2 linked regions of the Stegostoma tigrinum genome follow. The protein of the gene in region 1 binds, or shares a complex with, the protein of each later gene. Links are inferred from orthologs where the notes say so. Each region holds a gene or a part of one and is shown on either strand. Other genes may lie near its edges.

Evidence for each region.
Region 2: actin-related protein 2 (region 1) and actin-related protein 2/3 complex subunit 5-like share a complex: the UniProt entries of both Homo sapiens proteins name them as parts of the arp2/3 complex. The link is inferred for Stegostoma tigrinum from reciprocal best matches to the Homo sapiens genes ACTR2 and ARPC5.

Annotation. Positions count from the first base shown.
Region 1 is NC_081362.1:2,370,221-2,377,532, forward strand, and holds the start of actin-related protein 2, read left to right. Parts: upstream 1-4,312; 5' UTR 4,313-4,435; coding exon 4,436-4,483; intron 4,484-7,312. Other genes in the region: zgc:153169 (N(4)-(Beta-N-acetylglucosaminyl)-L-asparaginase), read right to left, coding at 3,835-3,949. UniProt on the Homo sapiens protein: ATP-binding component of the Arp2/3 complex, a multiprotein complex that mediates actin polymerization upon stimulation by nucleation-promoting factor (NPF).
Region 2 is NC_081361.1:45,984,429-45,991,251, reverse strand, and holds the start of actin-related protein 2/3 complex subunit 5-like, read left to right. Parts: upstream 1-3,820; 5' UTR 3,821-3,932; coding exon 3,933-4,073; intron 4,074-6,823. UniProt on the Homo sapiens protein: Component of the Arp2/3 complex, a multiprotein complex that mediates actin polymerization upon stimulation by nucleation-promoting factor (NPF).

The DNA.
Region 1 (7,312 bases):
CTTGCTTATAGACTTCTGATCTTGATCGCTCTTGTTGCTCCACACATCCGCCTCAGTCTGTCCACCTCATCAGTATCCTGTTGTGCCTCTCTTCCTGGTGTTGCCCCGATTGCTGCATGATAATAGGCCACACTGGCCTGTAGATTCTCCCTCTGAGTTTCAGTAATACTTCCCAATCACAACACACCACTGTCCTTCCCTAATTACTCCATTCAGACCCCATCCACCTTCCAGCACCAGTGACCTCCTGGTACTCGCTTTCTCTACGTCTTCACCAAGATTCTTTATACCTTCTCTAGGCTCAAACTGGAAGTGCATAAATTGGATGCAATTCTTTGCTGGAGAATACGAATAACCTGACAGGTTTATATGACAACATTGTTTCATAATTGCGATGGCTGATCATAAGTTGATCATCTGAATAAAAAGTTAACTTAAAATCCACATGTGCCATAGTTGGATTCTGAAATGCTGTCTTATGATAACAAGTCTTGATCTTGAAAATCATTAATCCAATCATGCAGCTCAGCCTGTGTTTCACAGCACACAGTGCAACAAGCGATACAGAAAGATCAAATCAAGTTTCAATCACAATGCTTTCCAAAAATGTGCTGATAGATTCGCTAGCAGTAACTTACACAACCTCTATTTGTGTTGAGCTATGAACACTGGTGCACAGGGGTCTCAAATCTCATGAAAAACAAACACTTCATTTCTAATCTTCCTCTCCGAAGTCTGCTGCTTGCTGTTTATTGGGTAAATCAAAAATTGCTTTCTGACGAGAACATAATGCATCACAAAATTCAGACATTCAGGCAGGTCAAACTCAGTTGGCTTTGACTCGTCTCCTGAAGTTAAACTTTGCACTGAATTTCTATACAGTACATTTCTGCAGCCCTTTCCAGACGTCCTGAGATCACAAACTGCAGAACAAAAATAAAAGTAATTCTTTTACACAAGATTATGAACACAATTTGGAATCGCGGGAGATTAAACAGAACTGTTCCAAATCCTTAGAGAAGTTTTTAAAATCATGCGAGGTAGAGATGAGGGGAATAGTCAAGGTCTTTCCCTTAGGGTAAGGGAGTCCAAAACTAGATGGTGCAGGTTGAAGGTAAGAGGGAATAGATTTAAAAGGGACATGAGGGGCAACTTTTTCACACAGACGCTGGTGCGTATAGGCAATGAACCCAGACGAAGAAACAGACGTGGGGACATTCACATCGAAAAGGTATCTGGATGGGATGTGAATAGAAAATGTTTAAGACCATATGACATAGGAGCAGAAATTAGGCCATTCGGCCTATCGAGTCTGCTCCGACATTTAATCATGGCTCTTAAGTTCCTCAACTCCATTCTCCCGCTTTCCCACCGTAAACCTTGACCCCCCCTTGATAATCAAGAAGCTATCTATCTCAGTCTTAAATGTACTCAATAACCTGGCCTCCACAGCCTTCTGTGGCAGTGACTTCCATAGATCCACCATTCTCTGGCTGAAGATGTTTCTTCTTATGTCCGTTCTAAAAGACGTTCCCTTGACTCTAAGACTGTGTCCTAGAGTCCTAGACTCCAATGGAAGCATCTTCCCAACATCCACTTTGTCCAGGCCATTCAGTATTCTGAAAGTTTCAATCAGATCGCCCCCTCAAGTCCTCTCAAAATAAATGCCAACATTGCATTTGCCTTCCTGACTATGGACTCAACCTGAAAGTTTACCTTGACAGAATCTTGAACTGGATCTCCCAAGTCTCTTGGTACTTCAGCCTTCTGAATTTTCTCCTCATTTAGAAAACAGTCCATGCTTTTAGTCTTCTAACCAAAGTGCATGACCTCACACTTTCCCACGTTGTAATCCATCTGCCACTTCTTTGCCCAATGTCCTAACCTTGTGCTGCCGAACCAATTCCTCAATACTACCTGTCCCTCCACCTATCTTTGTATCGTCCACAAACTTAGCCAGAATGCCCACAGTTCCTTCATCCAGATCATTCATGTACAAAGTGAAATGTTGTGGTCCCAGCACTGACCCTTGTGGAACACCACTTGTCACCAGCTTCCATCATGAGAAAGACCTCTTTATTCCCACTTTCTACTTTCTGCCAGACAGCCAATCTTCTATACATGCTAGAACCTTGCCTCTAACACTGTGGGCCCTTATCTTATTCAGCAGCCTCCTGTGTGGCACCTTTCAAAGGCCTTCTTGAAGTAGAGGTAGACAACATCCATTGGCTCTCCTTGGTCTACCCTGCTCGTTACTTCCTCAAAGAATTCTAGCAGATTTGCCAGGCATGACCTCCCCTTGATGAAACCATGCTGACTTTGCCCTATTTCACTCCACTTCCAAATATTCAGAAATCTCATCCTTTACATGGATTCGAAAATCCTACTAATGACAGACGTTAAGCTAATCAGCCTATAATTTTCCATTTTTTTACCTTACTCCCTTTATAAGCAGGGGTGTTACATTAGCAATTTTCCAGTCCCTGGGGCCCTCCCTGACTCTAGCGATTCCTAAAAGATCACCACTAACGCTTCCACTATCTCCTTTAGAATTCTGGGGTGTAGTCGATCTGATCCAGGTGATTTGTCCACCTTCAGGCCAATCAGTTTTACCAGCACCTTTTCCTCGGTGATGGCCACCATACCCAGCTCCACCCCAGCTCTCTTGAATTTTTGGGATATTACTCATGACTTCCACCTTAACAACTGCCGCAAAGTAATTATTCGGTTCCTCAACCATTTCCTTGTTCCCCACTATCTCTCCATCTTCATTTTCCAGTGGTGGAATGTCCACTTTGGGCTCTCTTTTGCCCTTTAATATACCTAAAGAAACTCTTACAGCCTTCATTTATATTACTGGCCAGCTTACTCTCATATTTAATCTTCTCCCTCTTTTTTTTTGTTGCCTTCTGTTGATCTTTGTAAGCTTCCCCGTCCTCTGTTTTCCCACTGCCCTTTGCCACATTACTAATTACTCTTTTATTTTTATTCTAACCCTGACTTCCTTAGTCAGCCTTGGTTGCCTCATCCTCTCTGTACCATGCTTCTTTTTCTGAGGGATGAATTTTTGCTGTGTCTCCTGAATTACTTCCAGAAACTCTCGCCATTGCTGTCCACTGTCTTTCCTGCTAGGCTCTTCTTCCAATCAATTCTGCCCAGCTCGTCTCTCATAACTCTGTAGTCGCCTTTATTCAGTTGTAATACTTCTATCTTCTCCCTCTCAAATCACTGCTTCCTAAGGGTTCCTTTACCTTTAGCTCCTTTATCAAGTCTGTCTCATTGCAAAACACTAAATTCAGTATTGCATGTTCCTTCATGGGGTCCACCACAAGCTGTTCCAAAAAGCCATCTCACAGACATTCCACAAACTACTTTGCTTGCAATCCACTACCAACATGTTTTTCCCAGTCCACTTGCATATTGAAATCCCCCATGATCACTGTGACTTTGCCTTTCTTACACAGCTTTTCTATCTCCTGGTGTATCTTGCACCCCATTTTATGGGGATAAGAGCCAAATGCTGACAAATGGAACTAGTTTGGTTTGGGATTCTCCAGTGGCGTGGATAAGATGGACTGAAAGGTCTGTCTCCAGTTTGTATGACAAAGTATCTATCAAAGGAAACGAGCTGCGTTGTCGGAGGGTCAGCGCCGAGCGAGCGGGCAAACCGTCGGAGGGTCAGTGCTGGCGGGGCGCCGCACTGTCGGAGGGTCAGTGCTGACGGGGCGCCGCACTGTCGGAGGGTCAGTGCTGAGGGAGCAGGTACTCTTTAGAACTTGGAGAACTGCTGTTGTGGGTGTAAAGGCCGGCACGACCATCATGAAAATACATCACCTGCCATAGCCTCCTGGACGGTGGCCGAGGCCCCGCGGCCGGTCGCCAACAGCAACCGGGCCTTGTCCACCGCAGCCAGCGAAAAGGCCCAGGTTCCAACGACCGCCGCCGCCATAGCAACCAACCCTGCACTCTGATTGGCCCCCTTTAGGGACCAATCACATTAAAACAATCATTCAAGCTGAGAAGAAATGTTTTGTTAAGCTTTAAAGAATATCAGATCACAGTACAAGAACTAGAACTTAAAAGATACCTTAAATATTCTTCAAAAAGACTTATTTTAGACTTCCCCCTCCAATGTCCCGCCCACCGGTCGCTTCCCGAAGTTTATTGGTTAGCCGGGCGCGGAGCGTTATCAACCAATTAATATTGAAGTGTCCTTACCGACCCCGCCTCCTCACTGCCAATCAACGGCACTCTGCCCACCTCACGTCAATCACGACGTTTCTGGCAGCACCCGGCCACGCCTATCGGAAGCGGAGTGTCACGTGGGAACGGCGCGCCCTCTGGAGCGGGAGCGAGCGGACAGTGATTTCCGGTGTCGGGAGGCGGGTGGAAAGTTTCACCGGGACAGAGGGCGGTAGCGGTTCGGGAGCGGACCATGGACAGCCAGGGTAGGAAGGTGGTGGTCTGCGACAATGGCACTGGGGTAAGTGCTGGCTCTTCGGCCCGCCGTCCCAGGGGAAGGTATGAGGAAGTGAGGCGCCGTCTGGGATTGGGGGAGGGGGTGGTATCTGAGGCAGTCACACCACCACCTCAATAACCCACTAACCCACTAACCCACCAACCCACCAACCCACTAACCCACCAACCCACTAACCCACCAACCCACCACTCTCCCACCCCCCCCCCCCCACTCTCCCACCCCCCCCCCACTCTCCCACCCCCCCCCCCACTCTCCCACCCCCCCCCACTCTCCCACCCTCCCCCCCCCCCACTCTCCCACCCTCCCCCCCCCCCACTCTCCCACCCTCCCCCCCCACTCTCCCACCCTCCCCCCCCACTCTCCCACCCTCCCCCCCCCCCACTCTCCCACCCTCCCCCCCCCCCCACTCTCCCACCCTCCCCCCCCACTCTCCCACCCTCCCCCCCCACTCTCCCACCCTCCCCCCCCACTCTCCCACCCTCCCCCCCCACTCTCCCACCCTCCCCCCCCACTCTCCCACCCTCCCCCCCCACTCTCCCACCCTCCCCCCCCACTCTCCCACCCTCCCCCCCCACTCTCCCACCCTCCCCCCCCACTCTCCCACCCTCCCCCCCCACAATTCCACCGCCTCCTTCCTTCCCCACCCCCTGACAATTCCACCGCCTCCTTCCTTCCCCACCCCCTGACAATTCCACCCCCTCCTTCCTTCCCCACCCCCTGACAATTCCACCCCCTCCTTCCCTCCCCACCCCCTGACAATTCCCCTCCCTCCTCCTCTCCCCAACCCCCCCACAATTCCACCCCCTCCTTTCCCCATACCCCCCCTGACAATTCCACCCCCTCCTTCCTTCCCCACCCCCTGACAATTCCACCCCCTCCTTCCTTCCCCACCCCCTGACAATTCCACCCCCTCCTTCCTTCCCCACCCCCTGACAATTCCACATCCTCCTTCCTTCCCCACCCCCTGACAATTCCACCCCCTCCTTCCTTCCCCACCCCCTCCTTCCTTCCCCACCCCCTCCTTCCTTCCCCACCCCCTCCTTCCTTCCCCACCCCCTCCTTCCTTCCCCACCCCCTCCTTCCTTCCCCACCCCCTCCTTCCTTCCCCACCCCCTCCTTCCTTCCCCACCCCCTCCTTCCTTCCCCACCCCCTCGTTCCTTCCCCACCCCCTCGTTCCTTCCCCACCCCCTCGTTCCTTCCCCACCCCCTCCTTCCTTCCCCACCCCCTGACAATTCCACCCCCTCCTTTTCTCCCCACCCCCTCCTTCTCTCCCCATACCCCCCTGACAATTCCACCCCCTCCTTTTCTCCCCACCCCCTCCTTCTCTCCCCATACCCCCCTGACAATTCCACCCCCTCCTTCCCTCCCCACCCCCTGACAATTCCACTCCCTCCTTCTCTCCCCACCCCCCCCACAATTCCACCCCCTCCTCTCCCCATACCCCCCCTTACAATTCCACCCCCTCCTTCTCTCCCCATACCCCCCTGATAATTCCACCCCCTCCTTCCCTCCCCACCCCCTGACAATTCCACCCCCTCCTTCCCTCCCCACCCCCTGACAATTCCACCCCCTCCTTCTCTCCCTACCCCCCCACAATTCCACCCCCTCCTTCTCTCCCCATACCCCCCTGATAATTCCACCCCCTCCTTCTCTCCCCATACCCCCCTGATAATTCCACCCCCTCCTTCTCTCCCCATACCCCCCTGATAATTCCACCCCCTCCTTCCCTCCCCTCCACCCCCTCCTCTCCCCACCGCCCCCACAATTCCACCCCCTCCTCTCCCCATACCTCCCCCTGACAATTCCACCCCCTCCTTCTCTCCCCACCCCCTGACAATTCCACCCCCTCCTTCTCTCCCCACCCCCTGACAATTCCACCCCCTCCTTCTCTCCCCACCCCCTGACAATTCCACCCCCTCCTCCTCTCCCCACCCCCCCCACAATTCCACCCCCTCCTCCTCTCCCCACCCCCCCCACAATTCCACCCCCTCCTCCTCTCCCCACCCCCCCCCACAATTCCACCCCCTCCTCCTCTCCCCACCCCCCCCACAATTCCACCCCCTCCTCCTCTCCCCACCCCCCCCCACAATTCCACCCCCTCCTCCTCTCCCCACCCCCCCCACAATTCCACCCCCTCCTCCTCTCCCCACCTCCCCCACAATTCCACCCCCTCCTTCTCTCCCCATACCCCCCCCCACAATTCCACCCCCTCCTCCCCTCCCCACCCAACCCCCCCTCCACAATTCCAGCCCCCCCTCCCCTCCCAAAATTCCACCCCAAACCCCCACGTTTCCATCCCCTCCTCACCCTCCCTGCCAACCCCACCTGCTTTCCTTGACCTCCCCAACACCATTCTTCCACTACTTTATCCCTTTTCACCCATTCCCCCTGCTTCCCCCAAAATCTGTGTATTGGAATTGCAAGAGTTTAACTGTTTGTCTGGCTGAGGACGTTTGCTGTTTGCAAATTGATTGCTGTCTTTTCTGCAATGGTTTGAACATCCTTCAAAAGTCATGAGCTTTAAAGTTAGAGAATGTCGTAGGAGAATTGTCTGTTAGGTTTGAGTAGTTTTCTATCAATGTATCCTTCTACTATTTTCTCCATTATATGCTTCTTTAAGTTCCCTTCAAGGGCATCAGAGCTGCTGGCCTCGACTGCTCCCTGTGGTGATAGGTTCCGCTCACCATTCTGGTGAAGCCATTTCACTTGGATTCTGACTGGATTTATTTGTGGTAACATTTTTCATAGTTGCCAGTTCTTGTCCTCTGCACAAGTGGAAGCAAGTTTTCTTGTTTCTGTCAGACATACCATAATTTCAGAGATCACTATC
Region 2 (6,823 bases), on another chromosome or scaffold:
CAAGCACCTTCTTGATCCCTCCATATATAGTCTGTGAATTTCTATTGTCACAGGCAATTTGGATTTCCTGCTATAAGTTGATTTGGTGTTTATTTGCACATTATCTCTCTCTATCTTTTGCATGGGTTTCTTGGCCGGTTTAAGGTCATGTGGTTTTTACTTAGCCATTAATTTACATTGTGCGTCATGTAGACTTTGTTTTTTGCATTGAAGACAGGTGTTGTTACAGCTGCATAGGTCTTAAACTTGATGCACAGCCAGATACAGAACAAGGCCTCATACTCAAAATGCATTGTCTGACCTGGCTTGTCATCTCTAGTGTACTGAGGGAACTGATAAAGCATTTATTTATCTTTGGGCTGTGATTTGAGAGAAATTCAGGAATTTGCATATTAATCTTTTCGAACTGATTAAATATTTAATAGCCATTTTAAATTGCTCAACATCACATCAGTTCTATGACCCTTTGATCTTTTGTTTATAAATTCTGCATCCGATGCCACCTCTCTCACTGATACCTGAAGAAGGAGTGAGACTCCAAAAGCTCATGCCTTCAAATAAACCTGCTGGAATATAACCTCATATCATGTCATTTTTGACCTTCACCACCTCAGTACAACACCAGCATCTCCATATCGTGACTTCAACATGTACAAATTTACGTGGCACTTTACTGCCCTCACCAAAGGCTGTTATCCAGAGGAAGGAGGGAAAACCAAGGTTAGGCCCTAATCAGTTGGAGGAGTTGCTAAGAGGTACAAATTTCAGAGAAACCTCGGTTGTCAAATGGGAATCCAGGCTGGATTTTAGGTGTAATTTACTCCCTTAACTATTAACTCTTGACATTGTTGTTGATGTTAACAGGACTTCTCACAACAGTACTCTCTTCTCCCTGGCACTGTTCATAATAGCTGCAGCTTGATTGATAATGTGTATCATTAAAAATATGGCTTGGCCAATATCGTTATCCAAAGCTTTCTTTTCAAAGAACAATCTATAGATGATGTCCGACCATTGGAAGCACAGTTGCTTTCTCCCCTTTAGATGCTAACCATGGGACGTGGAACCCCGAAGGAGATTAGATATATGTACACAGGCCAGGAAATGAACAATGCAATGTACCTTTCACAGAATACCACACTAGGTGGGCAATACCCACATCCATTGGGTCATGTACGCACTAATTATTTTAAACTATTGAAATATTTTTGGGTAACTGCAACAGTGGTATTCTGTGCCACCTGAATTTTGATCTGATTGGTTCCAGATGATGTCACTCATAGATGCACAATCCAGCTTCTTCTCTCAGGGCTTTAGTACACTGAGCGATCTCGAAACTTACAAGAAACAGCTTGCAGAGCGGGTTTGTGTGAAGCTTGTAAAATGCTCCTGTATTTTCATTCTGGACTGAGCACATTAACTCTGTTTTTCTCTGCGCAGATGCTTCAGGCCTGCTAAACTTCTCCAGCACTCTCTATGTTTGTTTTAAATGCCTTTATTTGGTGATCCATCATTCTTGTTTTTCCACAAGTAAAACAAACCCAGTCTGACAATCCTTTTTGATTAAACATGCCCACGCTGTTAAGGTATCATCTACACAAATCAGTCCTGAATTGAAATGCTGGGGTCACACTGGGAGGCAGAAAAGGCTGTTATGGAAATCTGACTAAATGCTTAAAGCTGCACCTCCCCTTTAAACTGTTGGAAATTTTTTGCAGTGAGTGAAGCCTAAGCAGCCAAACTTTGAGGCCTGAATGATGTGTTGATAAATTTTGTGGATAACTAGGTGTTGTTTAAATGTAAAAAGTCTATGGATGAAGCAGTTCCATTCTGTTAATCCCAGGTCTCACATATTATTATCTGAATGGCAATTCATTGGGAAAGGCGGAGGTGCAACAAGGCTAGTGTGTCCTCATACACCAGTCACTGAAAACAAGTATACAAATGGAGCAGGCAGTGAAGAAGGCAAATGGTGTGTTGCCAGCTACAATGTGAGGACTCAAATATAGGAGCAGGGATGTCTTGCTATAGAATCTTGTACAGGGCCTTGATAACAACTGTAGTATTATGTTCGCTTTTGGTCACCTTACCTAAGGAAGGAAGTTCTGTCTACGAAGGGAGTGCAACAAATGACAGAATTAACTGGAATGACAGGACTGACATACAAAGAGAAATTGTACCGATTAGGACTATGTTCACGATTCATAGAAACTGATTAAATTCTAACAGGTCTAGACATAGTAAATGCAGAAAGGATGTTCTCAATGACCAGAGATTCCAGAACCTGGGGTCATAGCCAAAGGTTATGGGCAGGACTGAGAAGAGGAGAAATTTCTCCACCCAGAGTGCTGAGCCTGTGGAATTCTCTCACAGAAAGTGATTCATGGCAAAACATTAAATGTTTTGAAGAAGGAATCAGACATAGTTCTTAGGGTATGGGACAAAAGCAGGAACAGGATATTGTATAGAATGATCAGCCATGACCATATTGAATGGAGGAGCGGGATCAAAGTGCCAAATGGCCAACCCCTGTTCCTATTTTCCATGTTTTTATCTCCCCCTACCTCAACACCCCACCATACCTCCAGATCCGGGCTCAGATTTGTTGTCAGATGCCAAAATGGGGTCACAATGTGAAAACGTTTGGGAAGTAAGTGTTGTAAACCTTCTTTAATCCCACTTCACTGCCTCAAAATTCTTTTTATAACACAGGAATGCCACAGTATCTTTTGTCTTAGCTTACCAAGATTTTAGCCAGGCAAATTCAGTATCACTTCTCTCACTTTCAATTTGATTTGTCTAGAAATAAAGCCCACTGCAAGGGTTCCCATTTTTGTGGACAGGCTTTAGTGATTGATGTATTTGCATTCGCAGCTCGCCTTGCTCCTCTGCTCATCAGATGCTCACACCTTCCAGATAATAAGTGCCCCCTCCCTTTCTTCTTGCCCAAATATACTTCATCCTGTCATCAGGTCTGAAGAAGAGTCATGCGGACTTGAAATGTTAACTCTGTTTCTCTCTACACCTCAGATGCTGCCTGACCTGCTGAGCTTCGTCAACATTCTATTTGTTTCACTTTGTCTTACCTCTGAGTTAGAAACATAAACCTAGATCAACAATGCAAGCTACAGCATGGTAAGACTCACTGCAATTCAGCAACAATTGGAGAAGAATGTCACAGAAAGTCTTGTGGCGTAGTGGTAGTGTTCTCACCTCTGACCAAGGGGGCTGAGTTCTTGCCCTCCCCGCCCTGGAATAGAAACGTTATGAAACAACCAGGATAAATGTTCAGTGTCAATCTTCCAATTGTGGTGGAGGAACACAGCAGGTCAGGCAGCATCAGAGGAGCAGAAAAGTCGAGGTTGGCTTTCCTGCTCCCCTGATGCTGCCTGACTCGCTACGTTCCTCCAGCTCCACACAGTGTTATCTCTGACTCCAGGATCTGCAGTCTCTGAGGGTAAAGAGGGTCGTATAGCGCACTGGACTCGGAGACCAAATACAAGTCCCACCTGCTTCCAAAGGCGTGTTAACAACACCCTTGAACAGGTTGCTTAGAAAAATATCAAAAATACCCAAAAGAGCACGGATGAGAAATGTATGGAAGGAGCAGGCAGTGGAGCTAGTTTTGTTTGGAATTATGCTCGGCATAACCTGGTTGTCCTGTTTCCGTGCTGCACAGCTCGACATCAACCTTCAGTTGCTGTGAACCGACACAGCGCTCACGCTTCACCTGGGCAGGTCTCGGGGGCGCTTATGCGCGTACGCGGCGTGCACGCGCTTGGGGCGGTGCGCAGGCGCAGAGTGGAGCGGGTCTTCCCTCCACCTCTGACCCCCCCCCCGCACCAAGACCGCCCCGTGCGGAAGCGGTGGCCTCGAGTTCAGTGAGTGACGGTTGGAAGCTGCTCCGTGTTGTCTCTCCTCTGCCCGGCGACATGTCCAAGAACACCAGCGCCGACAAGTTCCGTCGGGTTAATGTCGATGACTACGACGAGAACAACTACGTGGACGAAGAGGAAGGAGGCGAGAACCAGCTGGGTCCCGACGAAGTCGAAGTGGACGCTTCCATCAGGCAATATCCTTCCTGAGTTCGGGCCGCGGGCGTCGGGTGGGGAAGATGGAGGTGGGGAAGCGGCGGTACCGGGGCTCTAGGCCCTCGGGCCAACTCAGGAATGAACAGTACCTGAGGATGCAGTCCCAGAGAGAGCGGTACCGGGGCTGTACAGTCCGGGTGGCCCGCTTCCTTACAGACTCTGAACTGTTCATTCACTCAGTAGGAAGTCCCTGCCTGACGGCTGCACCCGCTGCATTTTCTTGTGATCTGGGCGTGGTGTTTTTTTTATAATTTAACTTGCATTGCAACCGTTTAAACATTATCTGAACACCTTAATTATTTGAACTTCTGCATTTAATGCGATTGGTTTATTTATTTTTGAAATGTTTCCTTTACCGGCGAGATTTAGCTCTAAGAATCTCTTGTATTTGCATAGTGTCAGTTGCATTCTAGGGTGGGACACAAATGCTGAAGCTTTGGCCCCTCTCGGAAGAACCTGGCTGAAGGTTCAGTCCCGAAGTAGGCTAGGATGTCGGTTAGTTTAAGATCAAGGCAGTGGCAGTTTGCCTCAGCTAAACAGGGGATTCGTAGAACAGACAGGCGTGAGGATATGAAGAAGTTTAAAGATGACAATTTTATTTTGCTTTCGTGAGCGTTTCAGTTCATATTTACGGAGGGTGGATATTACGGGAGTGTACTGTTAAATGCAGGCTGGGACTTGGATATTTGTGGACTGGAATTCTTGCAGGTTGTAATTCAGGAGACAGTTGAGGATTGGATTGGATGAATCAGGCTAAGGGTTGCATTAAGCAAAAGGTCAGAGTGCTTGACAGAATATCAAACCACAGAAGGACACATTCGGACAAGTGACCAAAAGCTTGTTTGATTTGACAGGCTTTCAACAACATCTTAAAGGAAGAACTAAAGACGTGTAAGAAGGGTATTTCAGATCCTGGAGCCTGAAGGCATGGTTGCGAGTGGTAAAGCAGTGAAAATCAGGAATGAGCAAGATGTGTGGTAGAATTGTTCAAGTGGAAAAGGGCAAGAAGCATGGCTGTGGAGGGAGTTGAAAACAAGAAGATTTTTAAAATCAGGGAATACCTGAATGGGAATCATTTTAAGTCAGTTCAAACCATAAGACATAGGAGTGGAAGTAAGGCCATTCGGCCCATCAAGTCCACTCTGCCATTTAAATCATAGCTGATGGGCATTTCAACTCCACTTCCCTGCACTCTCCCCATAGCCCTTGATTCCTTCTGAGATCAAGAATTTGTCGATCTCTGCTTTGAAGGCATCCAATGTCCCAGCCTCCGCTGCACTCCGTGGTAATGAATTCCACAAGCCCACCACACTCTGGCTGAAGAAATGTCGTCTCATTTCAGTTTTAAATTTACCGCCTCTAATTTTAAGGCTGTGCCCATGGGTCCTAGTCTCCCCTCCTAATAGAAACAACGTCTTAGCGTCTACCCCTTCTAAACCATACATTATCTTGTAAGTTTCTATTAGATCTCCCCTCAACCTTCTAAACTCTAATGAGTACAATCCCAGGATCCTAAGCCGTTCATCATACTTTAAACCTACCATTCCAGGGATCATCTGTGTGAATCTCCGCTGGACACGCTCCAGGGCTAGTTTGTCCTTCCTGACCTGTGAGGCCCAAAATTGGACACAGTATTCTAAATGGGGCCTAACTAGAGCTTTATAAAGCCTCAGAAGCACATCACTGCTTTTATATTCCAACCGTCTTGAGATAAACGACAACATTACATTCGCTTTCTTAATTACGGACTCTACCTGCAAGTTAACCTTTAGAGAATCCTGGACCAACACTCCCAGATCCCTTTGTACTTCTGCTTTACGAATTTTCTCACCATTCAGAAAATAGTCCATGCCTGTATTCTTATTTCCAAAGTGCAAAACCTCACATTTATTCACATTGAATTTCATCAGCCATTTCCCGGACCACTCTTCTAAACTGTCTAAATCTTTCTGCAGCTTCCCCACCTCCTCAGTACCACCTGCCTGCACACCTATGTTTGTATCATTGGCAAACTTCGCCAGAATGCCCCCAGTCCCTTCATCCAGATCATTAATATATAAGGTGAACAGCTGTGGCCCCAACACTGAACCCTGCGGGACACCACTCGTCACCTATTGCCATTCCGAAAAAGAGCCTTTTATCCCAACCCTCTGCCTTCTGACAGGCAGCCAATACAGCAAACAGGTGATAAGTAAGTGGGATAACAAGGTGTAGAGCGTCTGGTTTTCTGAAGAAGGGTTTTGAGCCAAAACGTCAGCTTTCCTGCTCCTCTGCTCCTTGGCCTGCTGTGTTCATCCCACTCTACACCTTGTTATCTCAGATTCTCCAGCATTGGCAGTTCCTGCTATCATAAGTAAATGGGACGTAGGTTAGCAAATGGGCAGTTGTGTTTTTGATGAGTTCAAGTTTGAAGACATTGCAAGGTCGGAAGCTCACCAGTGTGGAAAGATTGGTAATAAATATACAACTAACTAAGGCATCAACTAGATTTCATCGGTAGATGAAATGAGGCATGTTTAGGACAGGTGATGTTACAACCATGTAAGTGGCAGTTTTGGCAGTAGAGAGGATGTAGGGTCAGAAGTTCAGATCAGGGTTGTTTGTAATGGCAAATTTGTGAACGTTCCAGCTTCAGACTGTGCCCACAAGCAGGTCATTGAAGGGAGATTACGGCATTTTTTTTTGATGGCAGTAAATAAAGATCAAGAATGTAAAGCGTGAGGAAGGTGATA